Anolis sagrei: one gene and its partner. The protein of the gene in region 1 interacts with the protein of each later gene in a pairwise test. Links are inferred from orthologs where the notes say so. Each region holds a gene or a part of one and is shown on either strand. Other genes may lie near its edges.

Evidence for each region.
Region 2: the proteins of KLHL40 (region 1) and SPMIP4 interact in a two-hybrid assay, tested with the Homo sapiens proteins (2 studies listed by BioGRID and IntAct). The two-hybrid records come from large-scale screens. The link is inferred for Anolis sagrei from reciprocal best matches to the Homo sapiens genes KLHL40 and SPMIP4.

The regions. Positions count from the first base shown.
Region 1 is NC_090026.1:127,205,073-127,213,061, reverse strand, and holds the start of KLHL40 (kelch-like protein 40), read left to right. Parts: upstream 1-4,971; 5' UTR 4,972-4,984; coding exon 4,985-6,352; intron 6,353-7,941; coding exon 7,942-7,989. UniProt on the Homo sapiens protein: Substrate-specific adapter of a BCR (BTB-CUL3-RBX1) E3 ubiquitin ligase complex that acts as a key regulator of skeletal muscle development.
Region 2 is NC_090026.1:92,245,716-92,253,133, reverse strand, and holds the start of SPMIP4 (sperm-associated microtubule inner protein 4), read right to left. Parts: upstream 3,022-7,418; coding exon 2,888-3,021; intron 1,594-2,887; coding exon 1,423-1,593; intron 1-1,422. Other genes in the region: NPVF (pro-FMRFamide-related neuropeptide VF), read right to left, coding at 7,244-7,304. UniProt on the Homo sapiens protein: Microtubule inner protein (MIP) part of the dynein-decorated doublet microtubules (DMTs) in flagellum axoneme. May serve to reinforce and thus stabilize the microtubule structure in the sperm flagella.

The DNA of each region.
Region 1 (7,989 bases):
ATTGCGGTGCCCAGAACTGGACACAATATTCCAGGTGTTACGGTCAGAATCTACGCACCTGATAACTTTCAAAAGTGGTGCATTACAACCCCTTGTTGCCAAATGTAGTGGATTACAAACCATCCTGGGAGTTTTTGTTCTTTAGCCTTCTCTGCCCAAAGGTGCGGGTGCCTCACTAAACTACAGCTCCCAGGATTCCATAGCACTGAACCATGGCAGTCAATGTTGGGTCAAAATGCATTAAGTCGACAGTGTAGATGCACCCATCATCTGAGCCAGGTTGACTTCCTTTAGGTTTAATTTGTCAATAGCAATATTCCAAATCAGTCTTCCTCAATGTGGCATTTCAATGTGTTGGACTACAATACCCATCATCCACAATGACTGCCTGTGGATGGTAAGTGCTGTAGTCTGAAGCATCCAGATGAGGTTGGAGAAGGTAATTAATTATTGGGCAACTACAGAGAGTGCCCAATTGCCAGATTGCCAATATCCGCTGGATAATGGAGAAAGGCAGGGAGTTTCAGAAAAACATCTACTTCTGCTTCATTGACTATTCTAAAGCCTTTGACTGTGTGGATCATAATAAATTGTGGCAAGTTCTTGGTGGGATGGGCACCTCAAGCCCCCTTCCCTCTCTCCTGAGGAATCTGTACAAGGACCAAGGAGCCACAGTCAGAACTGACCACGGAGGAACAGACTGGTTCAAGATTGGGAAAGGTGTCCGGCAAGGCTGCATCCTCTCACCCAACCTTTTTAACTTGTATGCAGAACACATCATGCGAGGATGTGCGGGGCTGGATGAATGCAAAGCTGGGGTGAAAATTGCTGGAAGAAACATTAACAACCTCAGATATGCAGATGACACCACCCTGATGGCCGAAAGCGAGGAGGAGCTGAGGAGCCTTCTAATCAAGGTGAAAGAAGAAAGCGCAAAAGCCGGGTTGCAGCTAAACGTCAAAAAAACCAAGATTATGGCAACAAGAATGATTGACAACTGGGAAATAGAAGGAGAAACCGTGGAGGCCGTGACAGACTTTGTATTTCTAGGGGCAAAGATTACTGCAGATGCAGACTGTGGCCAGGAAATCAGAAGACGCTTCCTTCTTGGGAGGAGAGCAATGTCCAGTCTCGATAAAATAGTGAAGAGTAGAGACATCAGACTGACAACAAAGATCCATTGCCTAGTCAAAGCCATGGTATTCCCTGTAGTCACCTACGGATGTGAGAGCTGGACCTTAGGGAAGGCTGAGCGAAGGAAGAGAGATGCTTTTGAACTGTGATGTTGGAGGAAAGTGCTGAGAGTGCCTTGGACTGCGAGAAGATCCAACCAGTCCATCCTCCAGGAAATAAAGCCCAGCTGCTCATTGGAGGGAAGGAGACTAGAGACAAAGTTGAAGTACTTTGGCCACATCATGAGGAGACAGCAAAGCCTAGAGAAGACAATTATGCTGGGGAAAGTGGAAGGCAAAAGGAAGAGGGGCCAACCAAGGGCAAGATGGATGGATGGCATCCTTGAAGTGACTGGACTGACCTTGAAGGAGCTGGGGGTGGTGACGGCCGACAGGGAGCTCTGGCGTGGGCTGGTCCATGAGGTCACAAAGAGTCGGAGACGACTGAACGAATGAACAACAACAACAACAACAAACAGAGAGTGCACCTACACAGTAGAATTAATGCAGTTTGACCCCACTTGAACTAACATGGCTAAGTGCCTTATCACAGAAGGCAAAAGACCTAGTAAAACTACAACTCCCACTATTCCATAGCATTGGGATATGGCAGTTAAAGTGTTGAACTATTGAAGAGTTCATCATTCACTGGTTTAATTAATATAGGCTTTCTAAGAAACTCTAGGTCATCCTACAACTTCAGTTGGATGTTTACTAAAGAGTTGTGCTGGAGTACCGAGAGATTGCTAGTATTTATTTGTCGTGTCAGGGCAACCAGTGAATTGTATTACATTTCTAACAGAACAAAACAAACAAACAGACAGACAAAACACAAAATTTGCAAGTTTGGTAGTTGATTAGATGTCCATTGACCAGTATCTCGCCACTTGGAGTGCTTCTGGTGTTGCCACAAGAAGGTCCTCCATTGTGCATGTGGCAGGGCTCAGATTGCATTGCAGCAGGTGGTCAGTGGTTTGCTCTTCTCCACACTCGCATGATGTGGATTCCACTTTGTGGCCCCATTTCTTGAGGTTGGCTCTGCATCTCATGGTGCCAGAGCGCAGTCTGTTCTGCCCCTTCCAAGTCGCCCAGTCTTCTGTGTGCCCAGGAGGGAGTCTCTCATCTGGTATCAGCCATTGGTTCAGGTTCTGGGTTTGAACCTGCCACTTTTGGACTCTCGCTTGCTGAAGCGTTCCAGCGAGTGTCTCTGTAGATCTTAGAAAACTATTTCTAGATTTAAGTCGTTGACGTGCTGGCGGATACCTAAACAGGGGATGAGCTGGAGATGTCTCTGCCTTGGTCCTTTCACTATTGGCTGCTACTTCCCGGTGGATGTCAGGTGGTGCAATACCGGCTAAGCAGTGTAGTTTCTCCAGTGGTGTAGGGCGCAGAAACCCCGTGATAATGCGGCATGTCTCATTAAGAGCCACATACACTGTTTTAGCGTGGTGAGATGTGTTCCACACTGGGCATGCATACTCAGCAGCAGAGGAGCATAGCGCAAGGGCAGATGTCTTTACTGTGTCTGGTTGTGATCCACAAGTTGTGCCAGTCAGCTTTCGTATGATATTGTTTCTAGCACCCACTTTTTGCTTGATGTTCAGGCAGTGCTAGTGAGAATCATAGAATCCTAGGGTTGGAAGAGACCTCGTGAGCCATCCAGTCCAACCCCCTACCAAGAAGCAGGACAATCACTTTCAAAGCATCCCCAACAGATGGCCATCCAGCCCCTGTTTAAAAGCCTCCATAGAAGGAGCCTCCACCACACTTCGGCACAGAGAGTTCCACTGCTGAACAGCTCTCACAGTCAGGAAGTTCTTCCTCGTGTTCAGGTGGAATCTCCTTTCCTGTAGTTTGAAGCCATTGCTCCATTGCATCCAGGGCAGCAGAAAACAAGCTTGCACCCTCCTTATTATGACTTCCCCTCACATATTGATACATGGCTATCATGTCTCCTCTCAGCCTTCTCTTCTGCGGGCTAAACATGCCCAGCTCTTTAAGAACTCCTCTCTATGAATCTCTAGGTCCAAAGTGAAGGTTTGACTGTAAAAAGTTTATTTTACATGGCATCTTTACTCTGCTGTACCTGAGGTGGCATCGGATATAACCTCTCCTCTGAAACATCCAGATACTTGGAACAGCCATGTGCACAGAACCATATATATATATGTAGCGTACCTGGATTTCAGGAAGGCCTTCGACAAGGTCCCCCATGACCTTCTGGCAAACAAACTAGTCCAATGTGGGCTAGGCAAAACTATGGTGAGGTGGATCTGGAATTGGTTAAATGGACGAACCCAGAGGGTGATTCTCTCCAATGCTTCCTCTTCATCCTGGAAAGAAGTGACGAGCGGAATGCCGCAGGGTTCCGTCCTGGTCCTGGTCCTGTTCAACATCTTTACTCCTGAGGACAGGAGCAGGATTCAAAACGATCTTGACAGATTAGAGAGATGGGCCAAAACTAACAAATGAAGTTCAGCAGTGACAAATGCAAGATACTCCACTTTGGCAGGAAAAACGAAAAGCAAAGAGACAGAATGGGGGACGATGCCTGGCTTGAGAGCAGTACGTGTGAAAAAGACCTTGGAGTCCTCGTGGACAACAAGTTAAACATGAGCCAGGAATGTGATGTGGCGGCAAAAAAAGCCAATGGGATTTTGGCCTGCATCAATAGGAGCATAGTATCTAGATCCAGGGAAGTCATGCTACCCCTCTATTCCACTTTGGTTAGACCACACCTGGAATATTGTGTCCAATTCTGGGTACCACAATTCAAGAGAGATATTGACAAGCTGGAATGTGTCCAGAGGAGGGCGACTCAAATGATCACGGGTCTGGAGAACAAGCCCTATGAGGAGAGGCTTAAGGAGCTGGGCATGTTTACCCTGAAGAAGAGAAGGCTGAGAGGAGATATGATAGCCATGTATAAATATGTGAGAGGAAGCCGCAGGGAGGAGGGAGCAAGCTTGTTCTCTGCTTCCCTGGAGACTAGGACACGAAACAATGGTTTAAACTACAAGAAAGGAGATTCCATCTGAACATGAGGAAGAACTTCCTGACTGTGAGAGCCGTTCAGCAGTGGAACTCTCTGCGCCAGAGTGTGGTGGGGGTTCCTTCTTTGGAAGCTTTTAAACAGAGGCTGGATGGCCATCTGTCAGGGCTGATTTGAATGCAATATTCCTGCTTCTTGGCAGGGGGTTGGACTGGATGGCCCATGAGGTCTCTTTCAACTCTTTGATTCTATGATTATATATATATATATATATATATATATATATATATATATATAGCAATGAATCAAATTTATGATCAATAGCCTCCGCGACTTGGAAGAGAGAGAGATGTCCTCATGCCACAACAAATAATCAGAGGCATTTCTTCCCTGTTTATTCAACTCTGACTTTGCAGTATATTTTTAGCACATTAAGCCTTGCGCTGGATTTAGAAGGCGAGAGCAGGGATGTGGCATCTGTGGGTACGCTCCAATGTGTGTGCATGTGCTGAAGAGAGGGATAGAAGGATATGAACCCAAACACAGATCCCATAACTGATTTTAGAGCCTTCATTGCTGTGATTTACTCCAAGGCGTAACTTGTTCCTAGAGGGGCTGCTCACAAGTCTTGGGCTGGGGGCGAAAGACCTTCAGGAAAAAGAAATATACCTCTCCTGAGTGAATCATCGTGACAGCGTCTGTCATAGATCTAGAATTACACTTACAGCTGTTGCTCCTTGTGTCGTCCCCCTCCCCTTCCGCAAGAGCCATCCCTCCCTGGTGGGCCAGTTTGTCATATTAAAAGGTGATCGGCTTACACATGCTCCCGAATGGATTCCCTAAGCTTTGTAACGCCGTGGCTATATATATAAAAACCCCTCGCGCTGTGGAAACTGAGCCACACAGCCAGCTGGACAAGCAGCCAGGCTCATATTCTTGGTCAGCGCTCCATCAGGAATCAAGAAAGAGCTCTCCCAGGTTCACAAGAGCTGGAAGACCGGGTCAACGAAGAAGACCAGACAAGTTTTCAACCATGGCCGTCTCCTTAGAACAAGCGGAAGAGTTACGTCTCTACCAGCAAACGCTTCTTCAAGATGGTCTCAAGGACTTGCTGGACCACAACAAGTTCTTGGATTGTGTCCTGAAGGTGAAAGGGAAGGAGTTTCCATGTCACCGCTTGGTCCTGGCAGCTTGCAGTCCTTACTTCAGGGCCATGTTCCTCTCGGATATGGAAGAGAGCAAGAAAAGGGAGATCAGCTTAGAAGATGTGGATCCAGACGTCATGGGCAAGATCCTCCATTACATCTACACCTCAGAACTGGAGCTCACCGAGCAGAACGTTCAGGATATCTTCTCCGTGGCCAACATGTTCCAGATCCCTTCCATTTTCACCGTCTGTGTCTCTTTCCTTCAGAAGCGGCTTTGCCTCAGCAACTGCTTGGCCATTTTCAGGCTGGGTTTGATGTTGGACTGTGCCCGCTTGGCAGTCGCTGCCCGGGATTTCATCTGTGACCGCTTTGCCTTGATCTCCCGGGATGAGGAATTCTTCCAGCTCTCCCCCGATGAACTCATTGCCATCATCTCCAGTGATTCCCTGAATATCGAGAAGGAAGAGTCCGTCTTTGAGGTGGTGATGAAATGGGCCACAACCAAAGACCGGGAGAGCCGAGCAAAGGCCCTGCCAGTGGTCTTTGACAGCATCCGTTTTCGCCTCATTGAGAAGGATTACTTCAAGGATCATGTGGAGAAGCACCCTCTGGTCAAGTCCAGCCCAGAACTTCTCAAGAAGTTGCAGATGGTGAAGGACGCCCATGAAGGGAAATTTGCAGTGGTGAAAAGAGTGAAGAAAAAAGGGGAGAAGAAGGCTGGGGACAATGTCATCAATGGAGGAGTAGAGGAAGACGGTGTTGAGAAGGAGGAGGAGGAAGCAGAGGAAGGTCTCCCAGGGATCTTGAATGACACCATGAGGTTTGGGATGTTTCTTCAAGATCTCATTTTCATGGTCAGTGACTCGGGGGCGGTGGCCTATGACCCGTCAGCCAATGAGTGCTTTTACGCCTCACTTTCTGCCCAGATCCCAAAGAACCACGTCAGCCTGGTCACCCGCGAGAACCAGGTCTTCATAGCAGGGGGACTTTACTACAATGAGGACAATAAAGAAGATCCAATGAACTCCTATTTCTTGCAGGTAATGGATAACTCCTCCCAATGCACATATTTCTGCTTTTGAACCAAGAGCTGTATTCGTCTCTTGTTGGAATGGGGAGTCAACCCCAAGTGATTTTAATCTTTATGGCATAGCTTTAGTTTGACTCCCTCTTTCACGTATCATATTGGGAGGGCGGAGATTACTCTGACAAATATCTATATACTGCAAAATTTCCAACATTTCACAAATGAAAACCAAAATGCATACAACTTAGGGCCTTTCCACACAACCCTATATCCCAGAATATCAAGGTAGGAAATCCCACATTATCTGAGTGTGGACTCAGACAACCCAGTTCAAAGCAGATATTGTGGGATTTTCTGCCTTGATATTCTGGGATATAGGGCTGTGTGGAAGGGAACCAAGAAATATAAGAATGCAGTCAAGTTGGGAAAACTTTATAATGAAGAAGAATGCATCAATAGTTTGCTTTTGCCAAAGCCTACTGGGAAGGGCAAGATGGTGCCTTCTTCTCCTTCTCATCTGAAAACTACATCCATACTTTGAATTCAGGTCCCTCCCACACAGCCATATGTATAATCCACAATATCTGCATTGAACTGAGTTATCTGAGTCCACACTAGCATATAATCCAGTTCAATGTGGATTTGATACATCTGTTTGGAAGGGGCCTCAGTTTGCTGGAGTGGATAAAAGCAAGGAGAAATTGGGAGGAGGAAAGATCCACTGGGACATTTTGGAAAAACAGATGAGAAAATGGGATGACAGGATCAATCAGGGCTGTGCCTCCCAAACTGGGACCAGTTTGATACTGTGATTTACGTGTGAAAAGGGGGACAAATCCCTTCCCAGATTGGAGAAAAGGATTGTCCCGCTCAGCATCCTGATTACAATGAGTGACAGGTGACAATAGAAACTGATGTGATCCCAGCATTTGGTGTTTAGAGAGATACTCTGGTTTCAAGAGACATAAAAATCAAATGGGTCCGACCAGTCATAAATGCTAGTGGGCTGTGGCTTAATCTGACCAAGTAGTCATTTGAAAAGTGATTGATGATTTCCACTCTTTTGCTGGAGGTATTGAAGCAGAGTCTGGGTAGCCATGCACTTGACATGCTATGGATGTGCTCTACATTGAGAATTAGATTACTTTCAAAGCACCCTTGGGGTTATGGGGTTCCATATTTCCAGGAACCCCATAACATTTAAAACCAGGATTATCCGATCTGTATTTTGGCGAGCATGGGATAGACTATCCCAGCGGGTAATGGACTCCCCTTGATTAGTGGTTTTTAAGTAGAACTCTGATGACCAACTCTTGGAGTTGCTTCATCTGATCTCCTTGCATTATATATCTCAGCAAAACATTTACTAGTTATGTGAGTCTTTAAATAACACTATGGCCCCTTCCACACAACTGTATAAAATCCCACATTATCTGCTTTGAATTGGATTATATGGCAATGCGGACACAGATAATCCAGATCAAAGCAGATATTGTGGATATTCTTGATATTCTGGGTTATATGGCTGTGTCAAAGGGTCCTAAGTGATATCTCAAGATGGTTCACCTGTTATCTCCATGGTTGCCTTCTACTTCTTTGCAGTATGACCACCTGGATTCAGACTGGCTTGGGATGCCGCCTCTTCCATCT
Region 2 (7,418 bases), about 35 Mb from region 1:
AGTTTATTCTCTTCTTTCAAACCCTGACGCTGATTTAGAGGACCCTTTGCTGGCTTGTACTTCTTTGCCATGTTCCAACCAACAGATCCATGACCTGCAGTTTCTCCAAGGAAGGTCCAATCAGGTCAAGAAACGATACATTTTCTCATCTTTGGGAGAGTGTTTTCCCTTCAAATTGGCAGCTCCCTGTATTTATCCTCTTTTTCTGGAGTGTATAATTATTATTTTGCCTTTACTTTTTAACCCAGACCTCTTTTCCTTTCTCTTGTTAGCAACACTTGAACTTTAGAGTGCTTATCCGGAAACTCTCTCAGACTTGTGCCTTTGCTTATCTGGGTTAATATTTTCTCATGCTGAAGGAACAGTACTCTAATAGCTCATTAGTTGTGTTTGCACGTACTTTTGCCATTTATGAAGCCCTGCCATTGTGTTTGCTATTCACCAGTGCAATTATTAGATATATTTTAATTCTTGCAGATGTTTACTAAAATTCCACTTTAGACAGCTTTGTGTAAATATAGATCATTAATGGATTATTAGCAGCAGTCTACCCAAGAGATACAGCTGTCAAGGTGACATGATCCCAATGCAATTGGTTTAATTTTTTATTTTTAGTGTCTTTTAGCAGGATTTTTGTATTTTATTTCTTGTTATTATGTTTATTAAGTTAAATTAGATTGTTTTATATTGTCCAATGTGCTTGTCTTGATATAATTTGTCTGTATAGTTTTCTTTTTGGCAATTGAATGTTTGTGTTATATGTTGGAAACTGTCCTGAGTCCCTTTGGGGAGATAGGGTGGTACACATATATGAATAATCACTATCACCATCACCATCATCATCATGCAGAAACATGTATGAGTCCATTGATATGTTCTACAAGCATCCCTTGGAACATAATGAAATCCAGAACTGGGCAAAATTATCATTTGGATCATTTGAGCATGTGGCTGAAGTGGAAAGTAAATGAGAAAGCAAAATGTTGTGAGAAAATAACATTTGAGGTGGGCTATGCAATCATTTGAAGTGAGCCACCATCCCCTCCTCAAAGCCACCCCAGGAATGGTCTCAGAATGAGCAGGTAGCGAAGAATTTTTAAGAAAACTATGTGGTAAATTTAAAATTGTGCATTTATGGGAGAGAATTAAAGGCAACAGAGCAATATGTTTGTGTATAGAAACCTCCCAGTTGATTATTTTTGCCTTAGAGGTAAACAATAACAAATTGCCAAGAAAAACGTACAAGTGAGTTAATTTGAAGGCACACAACAAGAACATATGTAACAAAACAAAGACTGTAATCTGATCGTTTTTGAAAAATTGCCACAAGACACCAGCATTTCTCAACTCGCTTCTAAATTCAAACAATATATAGTTATCTAAAAGGTATACCAAAAGGTGTGATGAATAGGGGAAACTCACCTTAGCAAGCCATCTTGGGCATTGCTATTGTAGTGGTGCTCATGACTGAACTTGTAAGGTGGCTCATATTTCCTGTGAGATTCTGGGAATGCGACGTTACACCTTGCCAATCTCTGACCTCCTTTCATTGCAGCATTGCAAAGCTGAAATGTTTCCTTTAATTGTTCATACCTGAAATCAAATCAAACATTCTGCACATGACATCTGAGATCAGCTGTCGGCAACCTGATTTCAAAAAATCTTTTGACAAAAGTAACTGGCCCCAGAAGAAGGGGTAAAGAGAGAAACAAAGAGAAAGCAAAAAAGCTTGTTTTAAAAAACTACTGGCAATATCCTCTTCTGGTTTCATACCTGATTCCTTGGTCATCCCCAAGATGAACCTGATGAAATTAATTCCCAATATGAAAAGTATCATTGTCTCCTTGTCCAATCCAGTTGAGCTTGTTTTGTTACTAAAGACTTGCATGTCACTAGTTCTTATCACTTCTAATATCATTAACTTCATAGCAAACCAGTACAACCTATACTTCAATCTAAAATTAGGAAACTTACCAATATTATTCCTCTGCCCTAAAGATAATGATCTTTTATACATGTGCCAAGTTCCTTTTAGCATTGCATAACACTAAAAGCTATTTGAATGTTTTTGGTATCAGAATGCTGGCTCAGATGGACCTTGGCTTGATCTGGCAAGGCTGTTCCTGTGTTCTTGGCATTCAAAAGATGCATCATTATTGAATGATGGCAGTGAGTAGGCTGAAACTGAAGCAAATGCTAATAAATCATGCATGACTTCTGTCCCCAGGTTAATAGGATTGAGGTGTAACTTCTTTGTCCTAGAGCAAAAAATATACTTTGCAAACAATGGTGACGGGACAAGTACAGAAATATGATCCTCCACAATGCCATGACATTTTTTTTCATAATTTAATAAAATAATATGAAGCCAAGGAGCAGAAGAAAGCAATATTTGTGGACTGAAAAGATTAAATCAGAAGTCAGAGCACACATCCATTCATATATCTCCCCAGCATTGGTGTAAGTATGCATCAGCCCCAAAACAGAACCTTACAGACCAATCCAATTTCTCTCTGAGAAGGGGAGGAACCACTCTTTAGCCCACAATGCTGCTAAAAATCCACCTAACAATAGCACTATCTGGCCTTTATTGTTAATCATTACCTGCAAGAGTTTCATGAGGAGTCTTATGGAAATGTCAGGAGAGAATGCTTCTGGAACATGGCCATACAGTCCGAAAAACTTATAACAACCCAGTGATTCTGGCCTTTGACAATACATTCTTACTGAAATGATAATATAGTGGGTTCCAGTATTCTCCATGGACACTTTTAATAAATATTTTCAAACGATGGACGATTGAATATAACGGATTGCGAAACAAATAGTTGCAACCATAATGAATATATTTTTACAAAAAAATGATGAATTAGAAGTAACTACTTACGTTTCTTGTGATATAAGGGGACCAGGAGGGATATGGAATGGAGTCAGATGATTAGTAGATTCCAAAGCTTTTGTTACTACTGCTGATTCTTCTTGCTCATTTCTGTGATAGGACATGCGTGGGCGCAGTTCCATCTTTAACGGCTATAGGAAGGATTCATATGCTGACTGTTCAGTGGTTAAAGAGGCCAGTTCCTGTTTTTGCTTCAGTTGGGCATTAAAGTTCTGCCTGAAAATGTAACAATAACTCACTTTAAGACAGAGCCTACTTCATTACAGGAAAAAGATCACTTTTCAAAGCTGCTAGTGAGCAGCTAAGGATGAAAAGAGAGCTTACCTTCCCATGTAGGTGTCATGTAGTGCCCTGTACCAGTTTTCAACCCTGCCACTCAGGTGATATGTGACATCACAATGATGTAGCCAGGGACTGATCATGAAATAGAGGAAAGTCTTATGGCTGTTGCTTTCATTCCTTAAACTGCTTTAATTGGGCATCATGGTTTTTAATCAATGGATGCAAAAAAGTGAAACATATTACTGTACAATGGGTAGTGGTGAGGGACTAATTGGTTCTGTATTCAAGAAGGCAAATCTAAATTGACCTCTAATTCTCTTTGGACATTTTAACAAAGCTGTTATCCTTTCTCTGGGAACCACTGAAATAAAAGGATATGTCTGTTACCAACAGCTGGATTTTTCTATTGAGTAAACTGGATCATTTTGTTTTGTTTTCCGGATAGGAACAGAATGGGAAATGGGTGTTGTGTGGTTTTTGGACTGTATGGTCATGTTCTAGCAGCATTTTCTCCTCCTGACGGTTTGCCTGCATTTGTGGCTGGCAGATGATGGAAAGTGTTAGTGCATTTGAGATGACAGTGGAATTAGTTCCTAGCTGATGTGTCCTTACTTATTTTCATGTTCATGTTTGATTAGGGATGCTTAACAATAGATTTCATAAGGAGATTTGCAGCATGCCTATATCTGTCCACCCTGAAGGAATTCCCACGAAATTCAAGAAACAAGACATTCAAGACACAGTGATTTGTAACTAGAAGGAGTATGGCTTATTGCTATGTAAATAGTATTACATCTGTATTGTTGAAGGCTTTCATGGCCGGAATCACTGGGTTGTTGTAGGTTTTTCAGGCTGTATGACCATGTTCTAGAACAGTGGTTCTCAACCTATAGGTCCCCAGATGTTTTGGCCTTCAACTCCCAGAAATCCTAACAGCTGGTAAACTGGCTGGGATTTCTGGGAGTTGTAGGCCAAAAACCTGGGGACCCACAGGCTGAGAACCACTGTTCTAAAAGCATTCTCTCCTGACGTTTCACCTGCATCTATGGCAGGCATCCTCAGAGGTTGCATCTCTTTATATATTTCAAATTGCAACTGGTGGGAATATGGCTTTTGCAGAAGGGTTTTTGCAGGACCAAACTTAATCTGGCCATGATTTACCATGTAAAGCATTCCATCTGCAGTGAATTGCTCACAGGAACTGGCTTCAGTCCACCATTTCAACCCAGAATTCCTGATCTTGGATGTTTCAGGTTGGAACTAGATGGAATATGGATTTTGTAATGCTGATGCTGGGTTGTTTATTTCCTCATAATGGAGAGTTAGTGGCCTAGCTCATGCGGCCGTTAAAGATTGCCATGTGAGCTACATTCCCAGTGTGCATGTGCCAAGCTGGCTGCTGCTGAATGCTGTGTAGTTCTGTCAGCAGAAGCAATAGCAGGTGTCAGCAGAATGGTACAAAAATGATAGCCTTATGGTTAGGTCCTGGAATCAAACTCCAGCAGATGGAGAGACCTAATGTATAACCACAATTCTATGCTGTGGATATTTGGGTTCATCTAATGATTAATCACTGATGTCTTTGGATTCGTTTTAAAGGAGCTTTGTTGTGGTTCAATGAAGAGGTTACTCACAAATACACATTTTGTCTGAGTTGCAAAGAAAATTAAGAGCTTCTGAATCTTCATGATTTTTATGCCTGCAAATGATTTATTCAACTCCTTTTCCTGCCTCTTTGCAATTCATGAATAATATTTGTGCATGGATAATAAATAATCTACAGGTAGTTAGATACCCATGCTTTCTGTACCTGTCCAATATCTGCTGATGGTTTTGCATGCTAGGTCATGATTATTTTCCTGCCTTCTGTACTGGAAAACCAGAGAGAATTTTGCATACAATCTCTTCATTTTGTATCTTTAATACAAGTTTTTATCAACCTGAGGTTAGGAAGAATAATATTAGCCATACTGCATGGGAAGGTATAGCTTCTATGGCTTGTTTGTTTATTTGTTCAGTCACTTCTGACTCTTTGTGACCTCATGAACCAGGAGGTGAGGCCAAACATTCATTAGTTGGTTTTCTTCATATTGGTGGTTCCTCTAATTCATCAGCATATAATTTTTGATCTTTCAGACAGGAGAATTCCAAATCGTATAATCTATCACCATAGATTTGATGGGGACTATAGTCCAGAAATATCTGGAGGTCTTGAACTTGCCACCTCAACCACTGTTGACATGAGGACTTAGCCACCCTGAGTCCCTTCTTTGTGTTTGTGTAATGTTAAGGAATTCTGTGGATTTCTCTGTTGGTCTCACCTCTCACGTTTATGTTTTCTCCTTATTCCATATACAGAAATACATCAGTTATTTATATAAAAAAACATGTTTAGTGACATAAAAAACAAGATAGCTGTATTGGCTCAAAGAGGAATGTCAAATGGTTTGAACGTTGTACTAAGATTCCCAGAGAGAAGGGTCTTGGATATTCATTTGACCATGGAAATCCAATAATGCCATTGGGCAAGTCACCTCTGAGGAAGGCAATGTCAAACCCCTATGTCAAACCCGCAAATATTGGCAAGAAAACCTATTATAAGTTCACTTTAGGAGCATCCTTTGTTGGAAATAACTTGAAGGCACATAATAATAACTGACATAATGCAAATGATCGGAAAATATTTAATTAGGTAAGATGGCCCATAAAGCAAAACTGGATATTAAAGTCAAATATTTGTTTTTGTTGACTACGGTCAGATTGAGTTTGACTTATGATGACTATATGAATGAGAGATCTCCAAGCTTCCCTGTCCTTAGTAGCCCTGCTCAGGTCTTGGAGATTCTGGGCTGCGGCTTCCTTGATTGAGTCCACCCATTACAATATGGTCTTTCTCTTTCTGTATTGTCTTCTACCTTGGATGGGACATCGATGTGAAGGAGTGCAAGATTCAAGGCTTAGCATAAACTTTATCTCTTGTTTCATTTGTTCACTGATTAATCTTAACTGATGAAGAGTCTTGCAGAACTCAAAAGCCTGCACAATATTTTTGTGTTTATTAAAGGTATAATTTTATGAAGCTCTTTTGAGAATCTTAATGGGGTGAGGGCAGTATGAGCTACTACAAACTGCAAGTGTGCAAGAAATACAGTTTTTAAAAAGCCACTTAGGCTAATACTCACTACTAGATAATAATCACCACCATAATAACAGTATAGGTCTTAAAATATTAGGTTCAAATTATTTTCCTCTACATTATTTTATGAAGCAGGATAAAAGGTAATTAAAAGAGAACATAATTGTTGTTCATTCTTACTAATAAGGTATGTGCAGTGTGCAAAGTAGTCTCATATAATTTCTGGAAGATGAAATGTTAACAATTATTAGAAAAAAATGGAGACATTATTATCCTATATCTTCATACCGAGTGATAACTTACCCTGGTCTTATTTATATTTGCATAGTATTGCTTAAATGAATTGTTGTGTCTAATGTCAAAAGATTAAACATAGCTTGAGGAGTTGAATGATTACTTTAGTACACTCAAGATATTAAACCATATTTAAATATTCATATTCATATACTTCCAGTGGAAAAGTGTGTTACAAAAGTTATTGAACCGTTCTGATCTTGATATTTTTTTTTTCTTATGTTTTGGTGACTTTTTCTTTAGCCTGAAGTGCATGAGGATTGCCTTTCCTCTTTGCAAATACTCTTATGACTTCTTAAACCACAATAGACTTCATATAATCACATTTTTTTTATTTTGCATACATTGTTTCCACTTACCCGACAATACTCCCACCCCCATGTTTTTTTGGGTGGTGGTGGTTACAATTGATGAGACATAAACTATACAGAGTTCAGCTGAGATCAGAATATAGTATGGGAATAAATTAATATAATAAGAATATTAGGTGACCCTAAAGTGTTTGTTTTAGAACAAATGCTTTATAATGGAAATCCTCTTTTGAAGGCAGGGGTGTTTTAACCTTGGTCTCTTTTTTTTTTCTCTTGCAATTCGACAATAACACTATACAAAGGAAATTAATCCAAGCTCTTTCAGTGATTTGCCTCTTCAGCATTGGATTCACTTCTCATAGAGTTGCTTGAACTGCTGAACCTGAAGAAGATAGGGATTGGTTGAAGGGGAGTGAATGAGAGGGAAAGGAAGGAAGGAAGGAAACGAAGAATTGATTAGCTACAACAAAGACTATTGATAAGATGCAGAAGAATG